Oryzias latipes: one gene and its partner. The protein of the gene in region 2 interacts with the protein of the main gene of each other region in a biochemical or structural test. Links are inferred from orthologs where the notes say so. Each region holds a gene or a part of one and is shown on either strand. Other genes may lie near its edges.

What was found.
Region 1: the proteins of ubiquitin-conjugating enzyme E2 D2 (region 2) and otub1 form a complex in vitro, tested with the Homo sapiens proteins (4 studies listed by BioGRID, with this or other methods). The link is inferred for Oryzias latipes from reciprocal best matches to the Homo sapiens genes UBE2D2 and OTUB1.

The regions. Positions count from the first base shown.
Region 1 is NC_019876.2:28,617,446-28,621,095, forward strand, and holds part of otub1 (ubiquitin thioesterase OTUB1), read right to left. Parts: intron 1,120-3,650; coding exon 1,021-1,119; intron 910-1,020; coding exon 791-909; intron 1-790. UniProt on the Homo sapiens protein: Hydrolase that can specifically remove 'Lys-48'-linked conjugated ubiquitin from proteins and plays an important regulatory role at the level of protein turnover by preventing degradation.
Region 2 is NC_019880.2:25,335,798-25,340,042, reverse strand, and holds the start of ubiquitin-conjugating enzyme E2 D2, read right to left. Parts: upstream 2,877-4,245; 5' UTR 2,487-2,876; coding exon 2,463-2,486; intron 1,733-2,462; coding exon 1,669-1,732; intron 1,525-1,668; coding exon 1,493-1,524; intron 1,365-1,492; coding exon 1,287-1,364; intron 1,071-1,286; coding exon 965-1,070; intron 856-964; coding exon 762-855; intron 675-761; coding exon 626-674; 3' UTR 625-625; intron 1-624.

The sequences.
Region 1 (3,650 bases), on a different chromosome or scaffold from region 2:
TCTTATCATTTTTAATCAATTTATTTTTATCAAGTATTTTTTATTAACGTTTTTATTAACTGTAACTATACACTGTACCTCAACTTGTGTATTCTTGACACTGTGTATTTGTTTTAAATGTAGTGGGTCTGTGTACTCCTTTTTACTGATTGGAGCATGAGTCTGGAATAAATTCTATCTATCTATCTATCCATCCATCTATCTAAAATGTCGGTCCAGGTACTCCTTAGAAATCCGTCCCGGGTTTCTGGGGCCGTTGTTTCCTGTATCCAGTCCCTTTTACAGGGAGTCCGGTCCAACAGTCTTTCTTGTTTTAGAAGATAAGTTCAGTGTTTTCTTTGAAGAGTTTTTGTTTCTTGGTCCGGTTTGTTGTGCAGCAAATTGGATCCAGGTTTGGAGCAGATGTTTGGTGGATGCTGCATCCAATCGGGCTTCCACTGAAACGATGTCGGTCTTTCAGGTTGTGGAAGCGGGGTTGAGAGTTGGAGCCTCTTTCAGTTACCTCCTCTCTGACTCCCATATCCTCTGTCTTTGTCGTTTTAGGTCTCCTTTTTTCTACAACTGATGGCACTCTAATTAGAGGGCAGGCCTCTCCTCTCTGACCCGCACAGGTGAATTTTGTCAGGGCAATATGCAAACTGTCAGATCGGCAGGACATGGCGCGACCGTCACCTTTATTAACCCATTTCTGGAAAGACGTCCAGCAGCCAATTTGGAACTTGTCGTTTGGTGAGAACGCAGCACATCATGAACCCAATGAGACAGAACCGGTCCTTTAGAAAACACTAACCTCTGAAGCTCTTTGCTGTCTTCTAACAGGGATTCGAGGTGTGCAAAACCAAAGGCCCTGTAGAAACAGTTTCCGTCAGGCCGTGTCTTCCGAATATGAGAGTACTTTTTGTGGAGATCCTGCGACGACATCAAAGGGCGTAATTTTAAAATCTATGCGGCAGTTGGAACATTAGTAAACCGAATGTAAGGAGAGCGAAGACGGAGGCGGAGATGCGTGAGCCCACCGACCTTGATCTTGAGCTGATAAACCATGTCGTCCTCCGCATATTCTTTCTGCAGCACCGACAGCTCCTGTCTCTCCGACACCAGGGGGTTCGTGTTGGCGATCTGCACACTCACACAAACACACATCACAGTTTGTGTTTGCACTGAGAGACTCTCTGCAACTTTTACTACAGGTTTGGATTCACACAAATGCTTTTGTTCTACTGTATTTTTCCGCACCATCAAAGAATGGCCTATTTTAAAACTGTTAAAAACAGTCGCATAGAACAGAAATTGGTGTAGTGGCACCAATGGACCGGTACCGGGCCGCGGGACACTTGGCACCGGGACGCACAGAAAGAAAAAATAATTTCCATTTTATTGCTTTTTTTCGAGAGAAAAAAACGTTTTATTTTGAAAAGTGACCGGATTCTCTCTGTTACATCCGTCACACTTAACGCACGTCAAAGTCGCGACACCAAACATCACGTGATACACCCCGCTAAAATTAAACACAAAAAAACAAAATGAGCAAAAAAACAAACTTCTTTAGAAAGTTGCTTTGACAAGGGGAAACGGTCCAATGAAGGGACAGAAGAGGAACCTGCACCCCCTAAAAGAGGGAAATCTGCCTTTAATAGGCAGCGGTAAACGTGCCTCAAACCCCCCCCCCCGCGGTAAACGTGTCTTGCGTTGTACCGGTCCGCGGTAACAAAAAGGTTGGGGACCACTGCACTAGATGATGCTGCGCTAAAGGGAAGGTCAACGAAAAAGTCAGAAAAGTCAGTTTGTCAAACTTTACGAATAGAATACAAACCAACATTCTGACAGCTCGGTTCACTCCCAAAACAAGTTGGTGCAATCACGATACAGTAACTCTTGAAATAGTGGACAGCCAGAACAATAACTCAACGTTGTCCAGACGTTAATGTCCATATTCGTGTCTTGTCATAAAGGAAAGCACCAAGAAGGGCCGCCTCTAAATTCACTGATGTTCATGTCGCTAGCTAGTTGGGAAGTGTTTTCTCTGTTGTGGGAAGATTTCTCCGCTATCACTTAAAAACTATCTAGAAGTTTTAAACAGCAATTCAGACTCCACGCTGACTATTATTATTATTATGACATCACCGATTTCCAGAAGCAAGAACCTCATAAATAAATATGAACAATTAAAGCCTGTGTCCCACAGCCACTATGTACATTGATATAGCCCGGATGAAAACTGGTCACTGGTGATATAAAAGTTATACAACGGTGGTTCATGCATAAAAAGTATGTTAGACATAAGATAAACAGTCGTTGAAAGACACAGATTTGTGTATGCATCTTGCGAAAATCAAGCACAATTATAGTTTATGTAATAATTGTGTGTACAACAGGCACAAACTGTATAATTCTCAAAATTTTAAACTCAAAACCAAATTCACGTAATGATCCATCAGCTGAAACCCTCGACGGACACCTATGCATATCGACAAACGACGAAGGCGAGAAAGAACAACATTTCATACGAGGAAAATGCTCAAAAAGTACTCGGCTGTGTGACACGACCTTGAAAAAGATTTTAATCCACGGTGATGAAAACATGAACAGTTTATAAAAATAAAATTGAAACATTTTCTCTACAAACAAAGAAGCGTTGCACTGTAGTTTACGTTGGCCAATCTTGTAACATCGATGCCTACTAATTTCTCGTAGAAAGAAATTCCAGGGCACTGAAATTTGGAACTGTACATTCGGAATCCCCCACCAATAAAAAAAGTGGAACGCCCTATATAGTGCATCGAGTAGTGCTTCATGAAGGAATTTGGACACCATCTACATTTGCAAATATACACCACAATGCATTGTGGTTGAATGACTTTTCAAGTGAAAAAAAAAGGATCATTTTCACGATATCAAGCTGTGCAATACGCATATCGCGAAAGTCTGCAGAAATTGCGATTAATGGTTACCTTAAACGTGCACAATGGCAGCTTGAAGTATTTAAAGAATCAAATAAATCCCTTCATGCGTTTGACAATCGATGGACGCATTCACGTTGTTGACCAATCGGATAGACACATTCACGTTGTTGACCAATCGGATAGACACATTCACGTTGTTGACCAATCGGATAGACACATTCACGTTGTTGACCAATTATTTGGACAAATTCACGGTGTTGACCAATAGGATGGACGCATTCACGTTGTTGACCAATCATTCGGATGCATTCACGTTGTTGACCAATCATTTGGACGCATTCACGTTGTTGACCAAAAATTTGGACGCATCCACGTTGTTGACCAATCGGATGGACACATTCACGTTGTTGACCAAGCATTTGGACGCATTCACGTTGTTGACCAATCATTGGCGCATTTACGTTGTTGACCAATCGGATGGACACATTCACGTTGTTGACCAAGCATTTGGACGCATTCACATTGTTGACCAATCGGATGGACACATTCACGTTGTTGACCAAGCATTTGGACGCATTCACGTTGTTGACCAATCATTTGACGCATTCACGTTGTTGACCAATCATTGGACGCATTCACGTTGTTGACCAATCGGATGGACGCATTCACGTTGTTGACCAATCGGATAGAAACATTCACGTTGTTGACCAATTATTTGGACAAATTCACGGTGTTGACCAATAGGAT
Region 2 (4,245 bases):
TTTTTAATACGTTCTATCGGAGGTTTTCTGATGGAGGACATTACATAAATTAAGCTATTCAAACCTTGTGAATAAAGACAGGATTAAAAAAACCTGTTTCCTCGTCTGAGCTGGCATCTGGCTAAAAACTGTACCACTAGATAGCTTCAATATTGCTCAACATTTTTGTTGCACTGCTAATGTTAGCTTGGGGCTGTGAGGGACTTTAAGCTAGGGGGAGAACACGTAAACGGGGAGCTCTCAGTAATGGGGGGGGGGGGGGTTGCTCTGCATTAGCAATAGTCATATTTAAAAGACCAGTGAGAATGCTTTGAAAATAGATCAAAAGATGATCAAAGTGGGACTTTAACCACACCAGACACATTTGTGCCTGACCCCAAAAGCTACTTAGCAGGACACGTCAAATTGAACCACTTTTTCACTGTCATGCATACAGTTCATTTCCCGTCAAACTCGTCACATTCAGAACGTCTGAAGAAAATCAGATCAAATCTGAAGCTGGGGTACAAAAGGGAGACTGAATCTGACCGAGTACACTGGTTGTGTGCACACAGATTAGTGCAACAGTTAGATCTTTGCCAAGGTGAGAAAGAGATACCAGTCAAGATGCAGCACTAGGCTTACCCTACAGCATGGCATACTTTGCCGTCCACTCCTGAGCTAGTTTATTGTACCTAACAAAGTGAAATCCACGCACATGGATCAACCAAAAAAGGTGGGATCAGGGTCTTGTCACATGCAAAAGGACGGCTTTTACTCACTTCTGACCATCTGTTTTGTAGATCCGTGCAATCTCTGGCACTAATGGGTCATCGGGGTTTGGGTCACATAGGAGTGAGCAAATGGAGAGAAGAACTACAAGAGAAAAGTTTACGGAAACTCAGTTTGACATCGGAAGGCAAACTTCTTCCACAACATTAAAAGACATTAGTTAATTATTAAACGTCAAACTACAGCTTCCTACCTTTAGAAATAGTAAGTGCAGGAGACCACTGTGATCTGAGAATATCCAGACAGATACTGCCATTACTGTTAATATTTGGGTGGTAAATTCTTGTTGTGAATGCCACCTGAGGGAGAGACGCAACAAAAATCTGAGTTATGCAACGCAGATCCTGCGACAGAACAGGCTGGACCGGCAGATGATGTAAACAGGAAAAAAAAAGAATTACAGTTTCACTTTGTTCCGAAATCAAACGCTTTGTCTAAATCAAAAGGCAGCACCACATCCTGTCTTAACTCATTACTATGGAAACGCACAGAAGACACCCGTCATAGCAGCTCACCTTTGGGGGTTTGAAGGGGTAGTCTGTTGGAAAATGAATTGTCAGGAAGAAAACACCTCCCTGATATGGACTGTCACTCTGCAAGGAGAAGTTTAAACCGAGTTAAGGACTGACAGATCCAAGCATAAACATTTGCCGTTATATGAAGAAAGTGAGACCCCCCCCCCCACCACCATAACATGACGGGAAGGTCAAAATGTACTCACAGGTCCCATGATGGTAGCCTGCCAGTGAAACACTGCAAGGACAAAAATGAAGCATTATAAAGAAGCTTACAGGTCACTGTGACTGTCACAGCCTGCCAGGAACGCTGTTTCCTGTTCACGGCATCCACTAACATATGTGGTTTTCAGATTTACATCAGTGTGTTCGGATCACTTACTGTCATCTCCCACCGGGCCAGCAGAGCACTGAGCTGGGGGGTCACGAGCCAGGTCATTCAGTTCCTGTCAGGAGAGGAGCTTCAGTCAGTCATGAAGATACTAGAGTCTGACGAACGTCAACATCTCCAAACACCGAGTATGTGAGGAACAACGTCCTCCCTGGTTAAGGTTACCCCCATACCCCCTCCCCCGGACGGGCCCGCACAGCCCAGTTTTTATATCCACAGCAAACATACAGCCCGTCCATATAATGTTTATTTTTAGGTGACCGTCTATTTTGGAGCGGATGAGCCGGGCCCCACCCCGGCCTTTCCTCATAGAGGCTTCCAGACACCGGCAAGTTGCGGGCGGCCTGCCGGTTTCCGGGGCTGCCCGGTTCCCATCCGGGCCGGAGTTAACTCAGCCGGGCGCGCACACGCGCGACGAGGCTAATCGTGACGTGGGCCCTGGCCGGCTTGGTCAGGTGTGAATCACGGAGAACCGAACGCAAAAACAACGACCGAGACCGGTCGGCCCTGACAGACGTCAGCCCCAACAGAGAGGTTAGGTCGAAAATCGAAACTGCTAATGATTTAATGATAGCTGGCTGGCTGGCGAGCTGCGCGTCAGCCGGTTGTAACACATTTCTGACACACAAGTATCTGGACTGAAAACTATAACCGCCATCAAGCCGAGCAGAGCTCCACACCTGAACCTCGAAGCGACACTTCCTCGTTAGCCTTGACGGAGAATAGTTAGGGAGGCTAGCATGGAAAGCTAACACCGTTAGCACGCAGTTCCGCCGTTCTCTTACCTTGTGGATCCTTTTAAGGGCCATCCTCCCTCCGTGTTTGGGGTTTTCGTATTGTTGATACAGAAAGTGAGCACAAAGGCGGGCTGTGATGTTCCAGGATGACCGCTTCGATTAGATAATTCACGCTGGCTCAGCTCCACGGCCTGTCTGCTTAAGCTAGCTGATATGATAGCAGGTTAAAACTACGTATGCGGCCAAGACTTCACGAAAACTGGCTACGTTCCTCAGGAACTCCTTTCTTTTGGTTCGGTTCTGAAATATCCGTGTCCCCTCGGGAATTGACTAATTGCGAACGCCAGGTGGATAACCCCGGCCTGATATAATTGCCCCTCTTCAGGTTTCGGTCGATGCTGTTAGCTAACTAGCCGCTGTCCACATACAGATGAAGCTTTATGCCGTGAGGGCGGAGCCAGAATCCTGTGAGGGCGGAGTCAGTCAGTGGGAATGCGCCGTCATCCTGCTGTGAGGGCGTGGTCAGTTCGCCATGAGCGTGAATGAGAAAGCAGAATGAGAAATTATTGTCAACAATTTTATAACTTCCTGTTCATCCCTGCAGTTTTTTACACAAGACTTTTCTCACCTTTGTGTACAGAAATATAGAGTTTAAAATTTATATTTTTAGTGATTTATTGTTAACTATGTAGTTTCTAAAAGCAGCTGTTAAATAAAACTGATTATTAATAAATTAATTCCATTATTTTAACTGGATGACACTATAATCAGAACATCAAATTTTAAAATAAAGGGGCGGAGTCAAAATGGTTACGTCCTTCCTTATTGTAATGAGGATTGTGTGCTTCAGTGTGTTGTTTCATTTTGTGACTTTTCATCCGTTTGTCCCAGACAAATGCTCACCTGCATAAGTTCTCATTACTTCTTCAGGTCTTGCTTTTTTTATATTAGTTCCACTTGTAAATTTTCCTAGAAGTCCTAAATACACTTGGAAGATGAATTCTTACTTTTTCAGCTAAACTCCATGTCAGGAATGACATTCCAGAGTTTACTCTGAAAATATTCTTGAGCGTGAAAACTGTCACCTCTTTTGCTTTAGCAACATATTTCCAGATTAGTTGGGTAGAAACATTTGAACTTTGAAACATGCAGAGTAGAAAATGTCATTCTTTACTGTCCATTTCTGATCAGTTTACACATCATTCTCTTCTAAATATGAGCATCCAATTACAAAAGAGTCACCTATTTGGCTATAATTTTCTTCTGTGACACTACAAATTCAGATCTTTTCTATGGTTGTTTTTTATGGCTTTACCTCTTTCGTCTTCTAGATTTTTTCCATCCTGATTGTCATGTTCAACTTTTTTTCACCATGGATGTTTCAGAAATTGAAATGTGATTCAATAAACCTGGAAAGCTGAGTAGAGGAGGAGCATATGTGGGAAATCAGTCATTCAATTCCTTCAGATCTGTGCTGAAAAATACAAAAAATGTTGATGTGTTCAGATGCAGACCTAGATAATTTTATCTTTACTCTTTCTCTAATATCTTGGTCGTATATCTTTCAATTTCTGCTAGAAAAATTCACCTGCAGCCACTGTGTGTTATGTTTTAATAGGTTAAAAAAATAAACTTGTGGAAAAACATGAATAGTAGGTATGCTGTGTGGCACGTCAAATTAATTACCAAACACTCTATGTAAAATGACGTTGCTTTAAAATATGTTGTTTGTATAAAAAAGCAAATAAATGGCAATGATCTCCAACCGTCTTTATAGAACCCAGCATGGAGAGCATAAAAGCTCCTATCAAACAGTCTTTGAGACCAGACA